Linked DNA regions of Solanum lycopersicum. The protein of the gene in region 2 interacts with the protein of the main gene of each other region in a pairwise test. Links are inferred from orthologs where the notes say so. Each region holds a gene or a part of one and is shown on either strand. Other genes may lie near its edges.

Evidence for each region.
Region 1: the proteins of CDC5 (region 2) and pre-mRNA-splicing factor SPF27 homolog interact in binary tests that used the Arabidopsis thaliana proteins (3 or more experiments, as listed by UniProt). The link is inferred for Solanum lycopersicum from reciprocal best matches to the Arabidopsis thaliana genes CDC5 and MOS4.

Annotation. Positions count from the first base shown.
Region 1 is NC_090802.1:64,590,603-64,595,654, forward strand, and holds pre-mRNA-splicing factor SPF27 homolog, read right to left. Parts: upstream 3,336-5,052; 5' UTR 3,261-3,335; coding exon 3,027-3,260; intron 2,818-3,026; coding exon 2,642-2,817; intron 1,870-2,641; coding exon 1,786-1,869; intron 1,422-1,785; coding exon 1,352-1,421; intron 1,269-1,351; coding exon 1,135-1,268; intron 1,053-1,134; coding exon 995-1,052; 3' UTR 994-994; intron 396-993; 3' UTR 69-395; downstream 1-68. UniProt on the Arabidopsis thaliana protein: Component of the MAC complex that probably regulates defense responses through transcriptional control and thereby is essential for plant innate immunity. Involved in mRNA splicing.
Region 2 is NC_090803.1:3,832,122-3,836,988, forward strand, and holds the start of CDC5 (CDC5-like protein), read left to right. Parts: upstream 1-1,879; 5' UTR 1,880-2,087; coding exon 2,088-2,264; intron 2,265-3,211; coding exon 3,212-4,867. Other genes in the region: protein CHLOROPLAST J-LIKE DOMAIN 1, chloroplastic, read left to right, coding at 258-320. UniProt on the Arabidopsis thaliana protein: Component of the MAC complex that probably regulates defense responses through transcriptional control and thereby is essential for plant innate immunity. Possesses a sequence specific DNA sequence 'CTCAGCG' binding activity.

The sequences.
Region 1 (5,052 bases), on a different chromosome or scaffold from region 2:
ATCTTGAGCAATAAAAAGAAAGAAACAAAAGCGAGTCATCTAATGGTGATATTGGTTCTTCCGCTGAGTTGAAAAAAGTCGTCTTTGAACTAAATTGGGTCTGCTTCCAAGTCGGATCATTCACCAATTACATGTTCATAAATAGAGCTGTTACCAAGATAAGGAAATGAACATGTGCACAAAGAAATGGTCCATACAGAGGGGCAAGGCAATGCGTTTTTCCACACTGGACACATTCCTCACCAGGTTTGTAAAGCAATGCCTAACAGAATATTGCCAACAAAAGACATGGTCAAACCTCATCACACTGACCTAAAGCGAGGACTTCAAACCTTAGAGCAACTTCTCCAGCTTAGTCCAGCAGCAGCAAATCTTCATGATTAATGGACCTACACCTACATATTCCCTTCACAATATTAGTTCCGACAATTCTCACACACATCTTAGAAATTGACAAGAGAAAGAAGGAAGCATGGCCTACAGCCTCTGTGATTAAACATAAACCCCCAGCCAAACCCAATTTTTGTAGTATCATCATCTTCCTCCACGGGGTTTTATAAAACCTTGTCTATGCAACCTGAATTTTGCTAAGGAAATATGATTCCAGGAATTGGTTTTTTCATGTCTGGAAATGGAAAAAAAATGATGGAATTTTTCTTTTTAAAAATTTGTTACATTATTTTATAGGAAATTGAAAAGATCAGAACATTGCAGATCATAGTTTTTTTTGTTCTCTTTTTCTTATCTTCTTTCTCATCTCACACAATTGGCTCTTTAACTTATAGAATTGTAATTTTTTATTTCTATTCTGCACTCCCCGTGTCATACTTTACATTCATCTCAACCATCTAATTCATTCTCCATTTCCTTCAACCTAAATCACCCTTGTACCTCCCCCACTTTTTTATCTGATTGCCCCCTACATGTTTATATCATTGATAACTAATCCAGAGATAGAAACTAAGCATAACATAATAATAGCGAAATCAATACCTCATAATTCTGCATATGGCATTTTGCCATTCTCAACATTAGCCTCCAAATTCCAGCCCCTGCCGTAAAAGAGGTTAATATCTTAAAAGCTAGCCTATTAAAACCATAAAAGGCATCAATGATATGCAATAAAAAACCGACCTCTCTTCAGCCTCCTTCTTCAGTTGTTCTCTGTGGTCTTGTAGTTCCCCACATGCAGATTGGATTTCTATATTTTTCAGACAGAGCTCTTTCCATTGCATGGACAACGCATTGAGCTCATATGCAGTAGTTTGCTGTTATGCAATGGCGAACAGATCAATAAGAACAATGCAAAACACTACAGAAACAGATCAGTAGTGATACAAGATACTTATACCTGATGATATTTCCTTTCCCTGTTTGCTGTTTCTATCATTTCATTCAGTTCAGCAGCTTGTGATTGCATTCTGCAGAAAATTAGTTTGATATCAGCCATGGAAGGGATGCAGAGGAGAAAGGTTGAGCAATCATGCTCTTTTTGTAAGAGGCATAATAATACTGTGCAGAACTGGTTCCAGTTGTGTAAATACAGTGATAAATACTTCTCCCTTTTGAATCAACATTGCACCAGCAGTGAAGAGGGGAAATTGTTTGATCATATCATATTCTTTCCTTAAGTAGCAGTACATTGTTAAGGATGAGATAGCTGAACAATAACAACTACCCCTTTGTCCCAAACAAGTTGGGCTCAGCATCAGTAAATTGTTAAATAAGGATGCCAAAATATGCCATATTAGAGCACCATGAAAAATATAAAATTAGAAAAAGAACCTGGCTAGAAATGCCTCCAGTTGTTGATTGTACAGCTTCCACACATCAGGACCATGCTTTGACATTAGATCCAGATTTTCTAGCCTATAAAATATCAAGGTTAACTTTTGGTTACAGAAGCAATTAGCACAGTTGCGCAAAACAAAAAAAGGGGAAATTTTTTAACCAAAATATATCGAAGGCATGAATGTTTCAGTAGCAAAGTACTAGATGCCTCCATATACAGGTAGGACATAGTGATGTAAAAAACACTTTTCCTGATTAACAAAAGCTAAGTAAAAAGCTTTGGTAACAAAGTGACAAAATTCACATGTCTTCTGTTAGGATATGACCTGCTGAAGCTGATAGTATATAAAGTTCTCCAGAATCCTATTTCATTGAAATATATACAAACACACTCCCCAACACGTGACAAATAGTACTATGTTTCGCCACTCGTCTTGCAGGCTTTTGGATTCGGCATAGAAGCCAAAACAAACATAATGCTTCTTAATAAGAAGTTACTTGAAAAATGCATTATGGAATCACCATATATTAGCTATTCCTTTGAAAAAAGTACTCTTTATCATGCTTCACTGCAACATCTATTTTATTAAACCTTGTAGCCTTACAGACTCCATTTCTTTTGCATTTAAAGATAATTGAGAAACTGATACAAAAAGTTTCTTCCTACCAATAAAGGTTATCAACTATCATGTGCTATATCTAGATTACAGACATATATATACTAATTGTTGGACAAATGCTTTGATCATAGAAAAAGAGAGCTTAAACTGAGAACCATGAGTATATAATTAGCAAAGGGAACTCTCACAAATACCACCTCTATTTTCACCTCTGGATACAGGTAGCCTACCTGATTACTTGATGCTGCAGTAATCGCTGAGCTTTTTGAAGAGATTGTTTCCATGCAGTTTCATCATTGCGTTTGTTCACAGGCGGCACCTCAAGTCCATATCGTGAAGTATCTATTTGTACTGGAGGTTTTCCAGCTCTCACCCGCTCATATTCCCTCGCAAGCATAGGATGATTCTAAAACAAATTCATTCATTAGATGAGCAAAAACCATGGCCACATCAAGCAGTTACCAAATCAACACAATTCAAGACAAAGTAGCAATTGTAATCCTTCAATAAAGCTAATTCTTATGGAAAACATGAGTACTTCAAAAAAAATGGAACCCTAGAATTCACATTGAAAAAAGTTGAAGAGAAGAAGTATAGGCAAGTATAGATTGAAACCTCGAAGTTGAATTTACGAAGAGGAGGGAGGTTTTTGAGGAAATCGGAAGGTTTTTTGGAGCTGCGGCGCATCTCCTCTTCGACCAAACGGTCCACCTCTTCTTTCACATTGGGATCACCGTAGTCGTCATCAATGTACGGCAACGCATCTATCACTTCCGCACTACTAGACACCGCCGGACGATACTCCGGCGGGGCCTCTAGCATCAAAATGTCGCCGTCTTTTGTCGCCATTATTGCTCGGACCTTCTTACCGATGTGTAATAAGCCAGCAGCGAGTATAATAGCCCTGACTGAGGAGGGAGCAATGTTTATTCTTTTTCATTTTATAGGTTATTCTTTTTCTTCCCATTTTACCCTTGTAAATATCCCAAAGTCCCCAATAGGAAATAGAGCATATTTTTTCTTTTATCTTTTTTTTTTTAGTTTCGTTTATTTTTGCTTCTCGATAAATAGATCTTTATTTTTATTTTTAATGTTAAGTTATTTATTTTCCTAATTATTAAAAATATCTAGCACTTTATTTTAGTTGTCATAATATAATTTAATATAACCGTTAATAAAAAAAATATTAAGGAATGTTGTTTGACCAATATATCCCTTAATACTTCTTTAATCTTTATTTATATATATGTCTTTTAATTCTAGAATAATTAATTTCAATGGTAAAGTTGAAAAATTATAATTAATTCTCTTTTAATTGTGTAACACAACTATTTTGTTACAAGTGTTTATAGTATACCTAACAACTAAAAGAAACAGAAGAAATATTAAATAGAAATAATTATATAAAATAACAAACTGTTAATCTAAGTTAAATGTTATAGTCATAGTTTATTTTAATTGTAATTTGCACCGAACTTTTCCTTTTTTGCCATATAATTTGATATATAGCTAGCCATTTTCGGTATACAATTAATCATTTTATACATTTCGACATAAAATGTATAAAATGTGTTTTTATTTGTATAAAATGAGAGAAAAATATATATACAAATACAAATGCAAATATTTTTGCTATAAACTTATAATTATAAAAATACAGATGTTATTATACAAATTATAATATATAAATGAATTAATACAAAACTGAACAATTTTTATAAAATTGGATGTCATACAAATCAAAAGCTTTATATCAAACATAAAATTTGTTATGAAGCGCAATTATGCAAACTATAGTTATAACATACAAATATAATTTTTATGTTTGCTATATATGAAAATTGCTCTATTAAATATCAGTTAATATGAATAGAATGATCTGATATTTTCTGAATGAGCATGTTAAATTCAAAAATGATAAGTAGAAATAAAAAGAGAAAGTAACTTTTATCATTCTTATATTACGGTATTTAAAAAAATAGGAAAAGTCAGGCTATAAAAGAATAGTATTGACATATAAGTCACTTCCAAATGAAAGTATAGATTAGCTAAATATCCTTATAACTCTAAAAAAAAAAAACACTGTAATTACACTCTTTATCATTTCAATTACATTATGAGATCACTCTTCAGTTCCTACGATTTAAAAGTAAGTATATGTTACTTTCTTAATTGATTATATATTTTGATTATCTTGATAGTTTAGGATTTTTGAATAATAAAACTAAACTAAACTACTACGTTTATCTTGTAATTTTAATTTTTTTAGTAGGTGAGGACCATGAAGATACTGGGAAACATTCATCATTAATCTTAAAGCAAGCTGCTAGGTGCCTAATACCTTGTCACAAAGCATAAAAATTCAACTATCATTAATTTCGCCGTCAGTACTGTTCTTGATGACAATAATAACGATTAAACAAAGATATTAGGCAGATTCACTTTATAATATTAAAGTGAGACACGGAAAGTATTCCTCAAATTCATGTAACAACATGTGATAACACTGCTTCTTAGTAGTATTTTTTATTTCTTTAAATTTCGTGTTCAGTCAAACAGTACGGGAGGAGACTATTGTTATTATATATAAAAAGGCTCCTCCTATGACTGAGTATAGCTACTTGAGAAAGCAGAGGAGAGA
Region 2 (4,867 bases):
TGCCTAAACGAATTAAGGCTACATTAAGGGAGGGGAAACTTAGTTCTCAAATATCCTTTATGTTTTGCCCTCTTGCATATATTTTTTCGTGTATCCTGCTGTTTGCTTCTGTATACTTGTTGTTAGGGTTATAATGTTGAGTCCTCTTTTACCTCCATTCAACATGAATATGAAAAAATGAAGGCATTCATCCTTAGCTTTACCATGATTATTACCCCAATGCTTATCCGCGGTGTTAAATCTTTTTTCGCGTGCAGGAATTGCTTGTAACTGGATTCACAGCCATCGTGCTTTCCATCATCGCATCTTATTACAGATAGTCTACCTTCTACACTTGTTGAAGAAGAGATGCAGTTGCCTTGTGTTAGCTGTCAAATTTTGTAATTCTATTTGTTCCAGAAATTTGCCTTGTTTTGTCTATAGGATTTGATTGAGCAGCACTTGTAAGGATGCACCAAGTTCTGAGGATTCTAGGATTAAACAAGACCACAATCTTTTCAAAATTGATGGATGTTAATGTGGAGATATAAATGATAATGAGGAGGAAAGGTTAGGGCGGATCAATCCTTCATTTGAAAAACAGTCTTGAAATGCCCAACTCTACAAGGGTTGCGGGCTTGTGCAGGCTAGCCCTTCTTTATTTTTATTTTTTCCGTTCATTTTTCTAATAATTCTTTCTTTCTTTTTTTCAAAAAAAATCTAAATTCAAACTTCAAATTTTAACATGGCTAACAAAATTATATGAAAGTACATAATAGTTTCAATCATATCCTACTTTATGAATATGGTTAATGGTAATTCAAATTACAATTCCATATATAAGATCAAGAAAGGGAGAAAATTTTCAAATTGAAAATGATATTTTTTCAATACTTTTAGATAAAATCTACTAAAAGAAATATAATAATGATTTTTGACAAATAAATAACATAAATTTGAAAAAATTAATTTGTAACTTAACGAACAATTACCTCTTAAAACTTTAGTAATTTAATTCAAATTAGATAATACTTTTAACCAATCCCGACCGGGCGTCAATGAAGCCTCAAGGGCCAAACGCTTACTTGGATTGAGTCATAAGCCCTAGTTTCTTAAATAGGCTGGAAAAACCTTATTCTAATCCTATTCTAATAGCGATTTAGGTTGGACCGTCGCCATGGACTAACCTATTTTGACAGCTCAAGTAAAACCATTTGTGAATTTAACCTAGTCAAAATGTTTTAAAGCTAAAAAATTTCCCATCGTTAAACGAGGTCAAAAGTTTAAAACCATCTACTTTTATGGTCATCTCTCTTATAAATCATGAGAAAACTACTTTATTAGACATACATTCATGCCATATATACTAATTTTGTCTATATTTTTAAGTAATTAGCGTATTTTACCACTAATTAAGAGTTTCCTATTATATATTAGGAAGATACATCTAAATATATGTATATTTGCTACCACATACACTAAAATAGGGAGAGAAACGATCAAGATAGTCATGTATATCATATATGCGCGAATCACACTATAGGTATCAGAGATACCATAGACATAGGAGAGTGGCGAGTTAGATGGGAGGGCGGCGAGTGTAATTTATCTATCTCAAATACATGCAAATTCACTTGGATACAGTGTATCTTGAAAAATTTACACCTAATTTTGAAGTATCCAGATGCACAAAAATATGATAAGATTCGTAATATTACAAACTAGTGAAATTTCGGCAAGTCGAATTATTGTCATCCCATGCAAACAATCCATTTTTAAACCCAACAATGTATTGATGGGCCAAAATAAGCCCAGCCCACCACCCTAAACTATCCAAACCCAAATTCCAAAACAAGTCGAATTTGGAGAACTCATCGAAAGGTTACACTAATGGAATCTCATCAGCTTCGGAGCTAAAAACCGATTCCGAAATATCTTCTCGTCGGAGCGGAAAAACGCCGCCGCGGCCTGAATCTACTCTACCGGAGACCGTCATTTCTCGCCGGCGTATAGATTTCAGCTCATTTACAGGCAAAATCTGAGGTATACTTATCCAAAACCCTAGATTTCTCGGAGTCTCCCTTGGGAGACTGAAATAGTTAGCAAACATGAGGATTATGATAAAGGGAGGAGTATGGAAGAACACGGAGGATGAGATTCTAAAGGCGGCGGTGATGAAGTATGGGAAGAATCAGTGGGCTCGTATTTCTTCTTTACTTGTTCGTAAATCTGCTAAGCAGTGTAAAGCTCGCTGGTATGAATGGCTCGATCCTTCAATTAAGAAGGTCAGTTTTTTATTCTCTATTGAATTAAGCTTGTTTGTGAGTCATATCCTACTGTTGTTTGGTAGCTAGTAGATACATGTACAAGTTATGAGATAAATTGTTTTGTTATCTTATTGGCCTGCATTACTTACCAAATGAGTTTGTTCATATGTTTTGGTAAAAGGTTATATGAAAACTGTTTTTGATTGGTAACTTTTGCTGTGGAGAGGGTATAACAGTAGGTGACATATGCTCATAGTACCAGCTGCATGATAGGTATGAGGATAGGTTTGAATGTTAGATTTTGCGAATCATTGTTCAAGTGCCAAGGTAGGGGTAAGGTCTGCGTGGACTATACCATCAAAAGGAGACCACAAGTGGGATTATACCGGGCATGTTGTTGTAATTTTCAATTGTTGATTCAAAAGAGTGGCAGGAAGTGTGTGTTAAAGATGTCCGAGAAGGAAACTAGTTAGTGTGGAAGTTATTTTCCTCCAAAATTGAGTAAAATACTTCTCATTTCAGACCCTGACAACCAAATATATAACATTCTAGTTCACTGGGTGTTGGTTCTTTTTTCTTGCTTAGTTTAATGCGACATGCGAGTTATCTTTTTTTGTTATGTGTGACACCGTTATGTATTTGTTGATAGCTGTCACATTTCAGATTTCATCCTATTCCATTGTGAACTAGAGAAGTTCTGTTTTGTGAGCATACTGTGGCTTTGCACCAGTTTGTTTTTGGCTTGATTATTGGCATGCAAGATCTGAAACTAGTTTTCTGTGTGGAGATTTCTGTCTGAGTTTTTCCAATCTTTTTCTATTATTCCGTTTATCAATGACAGCTAATGATTTTCTGAATAGAGAAAGTGGAGAAGTCACAGTTTTTCAAGTTTACCTCAAGACTGGTAGGAACTTATGTTTTAGCTTAACCACTTCTTGACACAACTTACTGCTATTTTCTTCCAGACTGAATGGACTAGAGAGGAGGATGAAAAACTACTTCACCTTGCAAAACTCATGCCTACCCAATGGAGGACAATTGCGCCAATCGTTGGCCGTACACCATCACAATGCCTTGAACGTTATGAGAAGCTTCTCGATGCAGCATGTACTAAGGATGAGAACTATGATCCTAATGATGATCCAAGAAAATTGAAGCCCGGAGAGATTGATCCTAACCCGGAATCAAAGCCTGCTCGTCCTGATCCTGTTGATATGGATGAGGACGAGAAAGAAATGCTTTCTGAAGCACGGGCTAGGTTGGCCAACACAAGAGGCAAGAAGGCTAAAAGGAAAGCCAGAGAAAAGCAGCTTGAAGAGGCGCGGAGGCTTGCTTCTTTACAGAAGAGGAGAGAACTGAAGGCTGCTGGAATAGATGTCCGTCAAAGGAAGAGAAAAAGGAGAGGTATTGATTACAATGCTGAAATTCCCTTTGAAAAGAAGCCTCCTCCAGGTTTCTATGATGTCACTGAGGAAGACCGTCCAGTTGATCAACCTAAGTTTCCAACTACCATTGAGGAACTAGAAGGTGAAAGGAGAGTCGATAAGGAAGCTCGCCTAAGGAAGCAGGATATTGCGAGGAACAAAATTGCAGAGAGACAGGATGCCCCTACATCCATATTGCATGCGAACAAACTTAATGATCCAGAAGCAGTGAGGAAGAGGTCGAAACTGAATCTTCCAGCACCACAGATTCCAGATCATGAATTGGAGGCCATAGCAAAGATAGGTATTGCCAGTGATCTAATTGGGGGAGATGAACTGTCCGAAGGGAATGCTGCAACGCGTGCTCTTCTTGCAAATTATGCCCAGACACCACAACATGCTATGACTCCTATGCGAACACCTCAAAGAACCCCTTCAACTAAGCAAGACGCCATTATGATGGAAGCAGAAAATCAACGAAGATTGACTCAATCTCAAACACCATTACTTGGAGGAGATAATCCTTTGTTGCACCCCTCAGATTTCTCGGGTGTCACTCCTAAGAAAAGGGAGGTTCAAACTCCAAACCCACTTTTAACTCCTTCAGCGACTCCTGGAGCCACGAGCCTTACTCCTAGAATTGGCATGACACCTTCGAGAGATTCTTATGGGATGACACCCAAAGGAACTCCTATGAGGGACGAGCTACGCATTAATGAAGAAATGGATATGCATAGTAATGCTAAACTGGGGCAATTTAATTCAAAAAAAGAATTGCTTTCTGGTTTGAAAAGCCTTCCTCAGCCCAAGAATGAGTACCAGATTGTCATCCAACAACCTCCTGAAGAAAATGAAGAACCAGAAGAGAAGATCGAAGAAGACATGTCTGATAGGATTGCCAGGGAGAAGGCTGAAGAAGAAGCAAAGCGACAAGCATTACTCCGTAAAAGGTCAAAAGTATTGCAAAGGGAGCTCCCTAGACCTCCCATTGCTTCTCTAGAACTAATAAAGAGTTCCTTGATGAGAGCTGATGAGGACAAGAGCTCCTTTGTTCCTCCTACACTAATTGAGCAGGCTGATGAAATGATTAGAAAGGAACTTGTGTCCTTGCTAGAACATGATAATACCAAGTACCCTCTAGATGAGAAGCCAGAGAAGGAGAAGAAAAAGGGGGTCAAGCGAAAAATTGTTGCTGAA